2 linked regions of the Oryctolagus cuniculus genome follow. The protein of the gene in region 1 purifies or fractionates together with the protein of each later gene. This does not show direct contact. Links are inferred from orthologs where the notes say so. Each region holds a gene or a part of one and is shown on either strand. Other genes may lie near its edges.

The links. Proteins that work in one complex are often made in the same cells at the same time.
Region 2: the proteins of EEF1A2 (region 1) and VARS1 purify together in Homo sapiens (co-immunoprecipitation; 3 studies listed by BioGRID and IntAct, counting the BioPlex papers as one, with this or other methods). This does not show direct contact. The link is inferred for Oryctolagus cuniculus from reciprocal best matches to the Homo sapiens genes EEF1A2 and VARS1.

The regions. Positions count from the first base shown.
Region 1 is NC_091442.1:452,058-455,306, forward strand, and holds the end of EEF1A2 (elongation factor 1-alpha 2), read left to right. Parts: intron 1-815; coding exon 816-966; intron 967-1,236; coding exon 1,237-1,493; intron 1,494-1,786; coding exon 1,787-2,021; intron 2,022-2,288; coding exon 2,289-2,416; 3' UTR 2,417-2,749; downstream 2,750-3,249. UniProt on the Homo sapiens protein: Translation elongation factor that catalyzes the GTP-dependent binding of aminoacyl-tRNA (aa-tRNA) to the A-site of ribosomes during the elongation phase of protein synthesis.
Region 2 is NC_091436.1:138,825,982-138,830,085, reverse strand, and holds the start of VARS1 (valine--tRNA ligase), read right to left. Parts: upstream 2,801-4,104; 5' UTR 2,588-2,800; intron 2,313-2,587; 5' UTR 2,281-2,312; coding exon 1,894-2,280; intron 947-1,893; coding exon 812-946; intron 727-811; coding exon 588-726; intron 463-587; coding exon 338-462; intron 229-337; coding exon 144-228; intron 1-143. UniProt on the Homo sapiens protein: Catalyzes the attachment of valine to tRNA(Val).

The DNA of each region.
Region 1 (3,249 bases):
GGGGCCCCTTCTCTGGCTGGGGGGCCGTGGCCGCTGGGCTCAGGCTCACCTGCTTGGCCTCCAGGTGCCCTTGGGGGGGTTCTCGTGGTCTCCCCAGGCCAGTGTCCTGCTCCTGGACTCTGGGTAGGGGCAACAGGGTTAGGGTTGGGTCTGGGAAGCAGCAGCAGGCCTGCAGGGCTGAGGACTGGCTCTCCGCCGGTCAGCTGGGCTCTGACTTGGCCCAAGGTGATGGTTTTGGACCAGAGACCTGTTTCTAGGCTCACTCAAGCCCCGGGGGGCCCCAGGCCCAGATGGATAGCCCCTTTGCTCTGGCCAGCCCTGCAGCTGCCCACTGCAGGTGGAGAGTGTGCAGCCGGGGCCCTGGGAGCGGCGTGGAGCCCAGAGCCCCAGGACTGGGGACAGAGCGGGGCAGACTCCACCCCATCGCTGGAGGCCCCAGCCCTCAGGGCCGCCCCACTCACCTGCGCAGAGCTTTCTGCTGGCCCTGGGGTCTGATTCGGCTGTGGAGGCAAAGGACAGTGGGGAGTGGGGTGGACAGTGCCACGGGAGGCAGGGGTCAGTGGCTGGGAGCTGTGGGTGTGGCTGTGGCTGGGTGGGTTCATCGCCGGCCTGACTCTGCCCCTCCCACTCTGGTCATTTGTCTTGCCCAGGACCTGACGGCCAGGACCGGAGGTGGGAGGAGCTGGCTGGGCTGGGGGTGGAGGGGAGGGCTTTGCACCTGCCAGCCCCGCCCCCAGCCACCCTGATTCCTGGAGTTGGGGGGCAGGGCCCTCTCTCATGCTTCAGGGCTCTCTCTCACGCTTCCTCCTGGCCAGATGCCGTGGTTCAAGGGCTGGAAAGTGGAGCGGAAGGAAGGCAATGCCAGCGGCGTGTCCCTGCTTGAGGCGCTGGACACCATCCTGCCCCCCACGCGCCCCACGGACAAGCCGCTGCGCCTGCCCCTGCAGGACGTGTACAAGATTGGCGGTGAGCGAGCCTGGCCGAGCCCCGCCCCCAACTCCCAGCTGGCGGCTGTGGCCGGGCGCACAGGCGGCTCCGTGTGCGGGTGTGGGGGGGTCTCATGCTCCCGCCGCCCTGGGAGGCCCCAGCGCCTGCCCCGCAGGCACACAGCTGCTCTGTGGGAGAGGGGGTCAGCAGAGCCCCAGGCAGGGGTCCTCCGAGAGGGGAGTGGTCCCTGCAGGGCGACAGCCCCTCCCGCGCACGGCGGCTCCCTGGAGCCTCCTCTTCCTGGCGCAGGCATCGGCACGGTGCCCGTGGGCCGCGTGGAGACCGGCATCCTGCGGCCCGGCATGGTGGTGACCTTTGCCCCCGTGAACATCACCACGGAGGTGAAGTCGGTGGAGATGCACCATGAGGCGCTGAGCGAGGCGCTGCCCGGGGACAACGTGGGCTTCAACGTCAAGAACGTGTCCGTGAAGGACATCCGGCGGGGCAACGTGTGTGGGGACAGCAAGTCCGACCCGCCGCAGGAGGCCGCGCAGTTCACCTCCCAGGTGGGCGGCGGGGGGAGGGGCGTTCATCCACTCGCAGCTCCCCGTGGGGCGTGCAGCGCGGGACCGAGGCCGGGCCTTGTGTGTCCGCCCCAGTTCTGCCGGGGCCCGGGGCAGGGGCGCGGTCCCCCGCGGTCCCCCGCGCTTTGCTGACCCCCGAGGAGGGCCCTGCGTGGGTCCCCCGCGCTTTGCTGACCCCCGAGGAGGGCCCTGCGTGGGTCCCCCGCAGCCCGAGCTTCCTCCGTGGCGGGCACTCGGGGCTGCAGCCTGACCGCCGCCGGCCGCTCCGCCCGCAGGTCATCATCCTGAACCACCCCGGCCAGATCAGCGCCGGCTACTCGCCGGTCATCGACTGCCACACGGCCCACATCGCCTGCAAGTTCGCCGAGCTCAAGGAGAAGATCGACCGGCGCTCGGGCAAGAAGCTGGAGGACAACCCCAAGTCCCTCAAGTCCGGGGACGCGGCCATCGTGGAGATGGTGCCCGGGAAGCCCATGTGTGTGGAGAGCTTCTCCCAGTACCCGCCCCTCGGTGAGCGCCGCTGGGCTCCGGTCGGAACCGGGCGAGCCCTTCGCCACGCGTGCGGCCAGGCGTGTCCAGCCAGTGGCCTGGGGCGCGGCGCACGTGCTCGCCGGGGCGGGGCGGGGCCTGCGGGCGAGGTCTGCAGGAGGGGCGGGGCCAGCGGGCGGGGCGGGGCCTGCAGGAGGGCGGGGCCGGCGGGCGGGGCGGGGCCCCGGGCGCCCAGTGCGCTTGCGCGCTGCCTCGCCGCCGCTGGCCCGTGACAAGCGTCCTCCTCAGGCCGCTTCGCCGTGCGCGACATGCGGCAGACGGTGGCCGTGGGCGTCATCAAGAACGTGGAGAAGAAGAGCGGCGGCGCCGGCAAGGTCACCAAGTCGGCGCAGAAGGCGCAGAAGGCCGGCAAGTGAAGCGCGGGCGCCCGCGGCGCGGCCCCCGCCGGCGGCGCCGCGCCCCCGCCCCCGCCCCCGCCGCGGCCGCGCGCCGCGCCCCGCCCCCCGGCCCCGCCCCGGCCGCGCGCCCCGCCCCGCCCCCAGACCCCGGCCCTGCCCCGGCGCGGCCCCGGCGCCGCGCGCCCCCGCCAGGCGCACGTCTGCACCTCCGCTTGTCGGCGGCTGTCGGTCAGCGACTGGATGCTCGCCATCAAGGTCCAGTGGAAGTTCTTCAAGCGGAAAGCGCCGCCGCCCCGGCTTCGCGCCCGCGCCCCCGCCCCGTGCCCGTGTTTCCAATAAACCGAGCCCCCGAGCCGTGTGCGCCTGCTGCTGGGGGGAGGGCGCCGGGGCAGGTGTCAGTGAAGTGTCCTCCCGCGGAGGCCGTGAGGGGCTGGGGGGCCTCCTCGGGGAACCCAGGACGCGGAGCCAGCGCCTCGGCCCGCAGAGTAGGGGCTCAGGGCTGGGGGGTCGGCCTGAGGCCCCCGCCAGCAGGTGCCCTGGTCTGGAAGACCCCTGCGCCGCCTGGGGGCTCCCGCCCCCAAGCGGTGGCCCAGGTTCTTGGGAGGCCAGGCTCGCCAGGACCTTGGTCAGCGGCAGGTGCTTGCGTGAGGACGGCGGTGTGGCTCCCTCCCCGTCCGCGGGTCAGCCGCTGGGGTCCGCGACACCGGGCCCAGAGCCGGGGCGGCTGGGCCGTGTCCCCTCCCCTCTAGGAAAGACTCCGCCCCTCCCCTCCCGTCTGCACACTGCGGGCCAGCTCTCCCTCTGCTCCAGGGATCCGCACTACCCTCACCCCGATGGCGTTTGCACCCCCT
Region 2 (4,104 bases), on another chromosome or scaffold:
GGGTGGGCCCGCAGGGGGACAGGCTTCTAGCACGCCCATCGCGAGACGGACACCCTCACTGAGCAGCGTGATGCACGCAAGGCCGCAAGGCCGGAGCAAGAAGGGGCAAACGCTTGGACGGAGCAGCTGGAGGGTGGGGTTACCTTTCTTCTCTCCGGGTGGGGTTGGGAGGTCATAGGTGATGACCCCAGGATCCCGTTTCTCCTTCTTCTCTGGTTTTGGTTTCTTCTGCGGGGGGTGGGGGTGGGGGTGGGATACGACAAGGCCCAGGCTATCAGCCACCCCTCCCCACCCCTCCCGGGTACCACCTCCTCCAGCTGCACCCTGAGCCTCTCACCTCCCCTGGGGGGGGCTGCTGCTGCTGCATTTTCTGCTTCTGTTGGAATTTTTCTAGCTTCTCCCGCTTCTTTGCCTCTTTCTTGAGCTGAGCAGCTGTCTTTGGGGGTGCAGCCACCTCAGGGCCTGGAGAGAGGTGCAGGAGGTCACACTCAGTCCCTGGGACCCTCTGTAACAGTGCTACCGCCTCTCACGCAGGCTGTTGCAGGCCCCGGCCAGCCGGAGAGGAGCCGCCATCCGCCCTCCCTCACCTGGCTGCTGAGAGAAGGGCCTGGCCCCCGAGTACAGAACCACTTCTCCCAACACGGCGCGGAATTCCGGCTGCTGGACGCACGTGAGGAACCAGCGGGTCACGTTACCCCAGACCTGGCGGGCCGAGGGGTCCAGGACCTAACACGGGGAATGACCATCTCAGCCACCCTATAGCAAGGTCAGAGAGGGGCTCTCGGTTCCTCCCCAGGCCCCAGTGACTCACATATCGGAACGGCAGCAGCAGGGCTGTGACAGCTGCCAGGTCAGCCAGCGTGGGGGCCTCCCCAGCCAGGTAGGTGTGCAGACGGAGCCACTCCTCCAAGGGGCTCAAGGCCCTGCCCAGGGCTCCCAGGGCAGCCTGCGGGAAGGGGAAGGGGATGAGACAGGCCTGGTCCACCCCCTAACCCGATCTGGTAGGCCTCCCTCCACACCCACTCCTGCAGATCACCACCTCTGAGGTCAGTCTCTCCTTCGCTCACACACTCATATCAATACTTCTGACGCATCCAGCAAATCTCTATTGAACACGTACTATGTGCCAGGGCCATACAGTAAGCACAGGAATTAAAGATCCTCCGAGGCAGCAAAGTAATCACCAGGTCCAGGGCTTAATTTCTTTTAAAGCGCCTGTCTGGGGAATGAGGCACCCACGTGGACAGGCCGAGCCCTGCCTGCCAGCTTACAGGGAGGACCACACATGAGCAACTACTTAGTACACAGCCCTTTCTTAACTCTTACAAAGAAACACACAGCAGGCTGATGGGAACAAGAAATTCTAGGAAAAAGAGACTATTTTAGACAGGGCGATGACGCCAGGGTCTGTGTCACAAATTCATTCATTCGAGAAACACCACGAGCCTGCCACATGCCGTAGCAGGAGGCGGAGCTGCGGGTAGGCACAGCCCTGCTCTGGAAGGACTTACAGACATAACTGGTAGGGTTTCTCCTCTCCCTTCCTCCTCATTTAATTTCTCCTTTATCTCCTTCCAGCAGCCGCCACCTCTCCCTCACCCAGGCTTCTCTCAAGTCCCAGTCACCCCTATCTATTCTCATCCAACTCACAAACTTCTACCTGGAAACTTCGAAGCTGCCTGGCATGGGACTGTGTGCTCTGACACATCCTTTAATCGCATTAACTCAGCGAGGCTGGTATTACATCAGGCACCCGGCTCAGAGTTTAAGAAGCCAGCCCAAGGCTACCACACTCGGTGACAATCTGGGACTTGATCAACGTTTTTCCGTATCTGATGGCTCTATTACGATCATCTCCAATTTCCCCCTCACCCTCCTCTCCTCCCCACTCACCTGGGGGTCCTGAGCTGGGCTTCGCAGTCCCAGGGCCGGCAGCGTAGCCCCACAGGCAGCCGGTATTAGCTCCGTGTCGGCGTAGCTGACCCACTGTTGGACGAGGACAGCCGCCTGGCTGCCCCCAGAGCCCCCGAGGCCCGCTGGCCACAGCAGCTGAGACACAGCCGTGGCCCCCCACACCCACAGCCCACCGGGCCCCTGCTCCAGGGCCGGCAGGCGGGGTGGGGGAAAGGGCGTCCTACTGGTTGGGGGCGGCTGGAGACAGATTCGGGGGTGGGCTCCTCCCCATCCTGGTCCCTCTCCAGCCTCCCCATAGCGAGCAGCTATGAGGGCCCGGAGGCTGGGGAAGGCATCGGGGTGAGGGGAGACGTAAAGGATGGACATGGTTATGCGGGTCCCGGACGAGATGGCGAAACCTGGGAGAAAGAGACGGGGGTAGACTGAGGGACGCAGGGACCCTATATTGAAGAGAGAGGGGGCCCTCGGGGGGGGGGGTGGCTCCTTTGCCGCAGGCGCCCGAGATGCTCAGGCCTCAGGAGCCCAGGGGCTAGCTCTCACAGTGACAAGGAGAGCCCGCCTGGGGGAAGAGGGGCGGAGGTCTCCCCAGGATCGCAGGGGTCTCCGGGAGTGCGGGAGTTCGCAATAGCGGTTCGGCGTCCGGTGGACGCGGGTTCGCGCCGCGTGTACGTACTGGAGGGAGGTGGTCGGGCAGGGCCGGGAATCCCCCTCCCCAACTGGGAGGCCGGGGCGGAGAAGTTGGGCGGGCCTCGGAGACGGTGGGCGGCTCTTTAGGCGACCCCGGCTCCCTGCGACCGCCGGCCCGGCAGTCGGCGCCCACGTGTTCCCCCCTTTGTGACAGCGAGCATTTCCGGGCCCGCCGGTCCTGGCGGGGGCGGCCGCGCCCCGCCTGCGTGTGCGCGCGCCGCCCCGCGCTGCCCGACCCTGCCCCGGAGGACGCGCCGCGCGCCGCGCTCCCAAGGAACTGCACGGAGCGCGGGGCGCGGGGCGCGGGGCGCAGAGCGCGAAGACGCCCCCCCAGGAACGGCACTCCCGTCAGGCGCCGCCGCGGGCACCCCGTGCGGGTCCTCGGGCCGGGCCGCGAGGGCGGCGCCCAGCGGGCAGCGGCGAACCGGCCGCGCAGGGAGCGGCCTGAGCCTGCCGTAAGTACGGAAGGAGCCTCATTTGCACACCGACCAGGGTCACGCTGCAGGGCTTGCGCTGTTTCTTAGCGGGGAAGAGTTCGCGTCTGCATTGCATATTGGAAATCGTCTACTGGACGCTGTTGCACAGTGGCTGTTTCTTAATTCCCAGTCACCACTCCACGGCACAAGCTAAGTCACTTGTTGGTATCTTCGAGATACCCGGAGAAAGTGTGTACTGCGTTGGCTGGATTAAAGCAGAAATACGGCGACGTGAAATGCATTTTGGAATCTCACGTTACCAAATTAGTGGAAGGGTGAATTAATGGAAGGGCTGGGGTGGACGCTTGGCCTGGAGGCTAAGACACCACATGGGGCACATCCTGCATCCCGTATTGGAGTGTCTGAGTTCAAGTCCAGGTTCTGGTTCAGATTCTAGCTTCCTGCCAGTGTGCACGGTGGCAGGTAGCAAGTGGTCACTGCGACCCACGTGGACCCAGATTTTTTTTTTTTTTTTTTTTTTTTTTTACAGGCAGAGTGGACAGTGAGAGAGACAGAGAGAAAGGTCTTCCTTTGCCGTTGGCTCACCCTCCAATGGCCGCCGCGGCCGGCGCGCTGCGCTGATCCAATGGCAGGAGGCAGGTACTTCTCCTGTTCTCCCATGGGGTGCAGGGCCCAAGCACTCACTCCCTGGCCATAGCAGAGAGCTGGCCTGGAAGAGGGGCAACCGGGACAGAATCCAGCGCCCCGACCAGGACTAGAACCCGGTGTGCCAGCGCCGCAAGGCGGAGGATTAACCTAGTGAGCTGTGGCGCTGGCCAGACCCAGATTTCTTTCTTTTTTTTTTTTTTTAAGATTCACTTATTCGAAGAACAGAGTTAGAGGGAGAAAGATCTTCCATCTGCTGGTTTACTCCCTAAATAGCCGCAATGGCCAGGGTTGAGCAGGTCCAAAGCCAAGACCCAGGAGCTTCTTCCAGGTCTCCCACGTGGATGCAGGGGCCCTTGGGCCTTGGCCATCCTCCCCTACTTTTCCAGGCCATAGCAGGGAGCTGGGACTTGAACTGGTG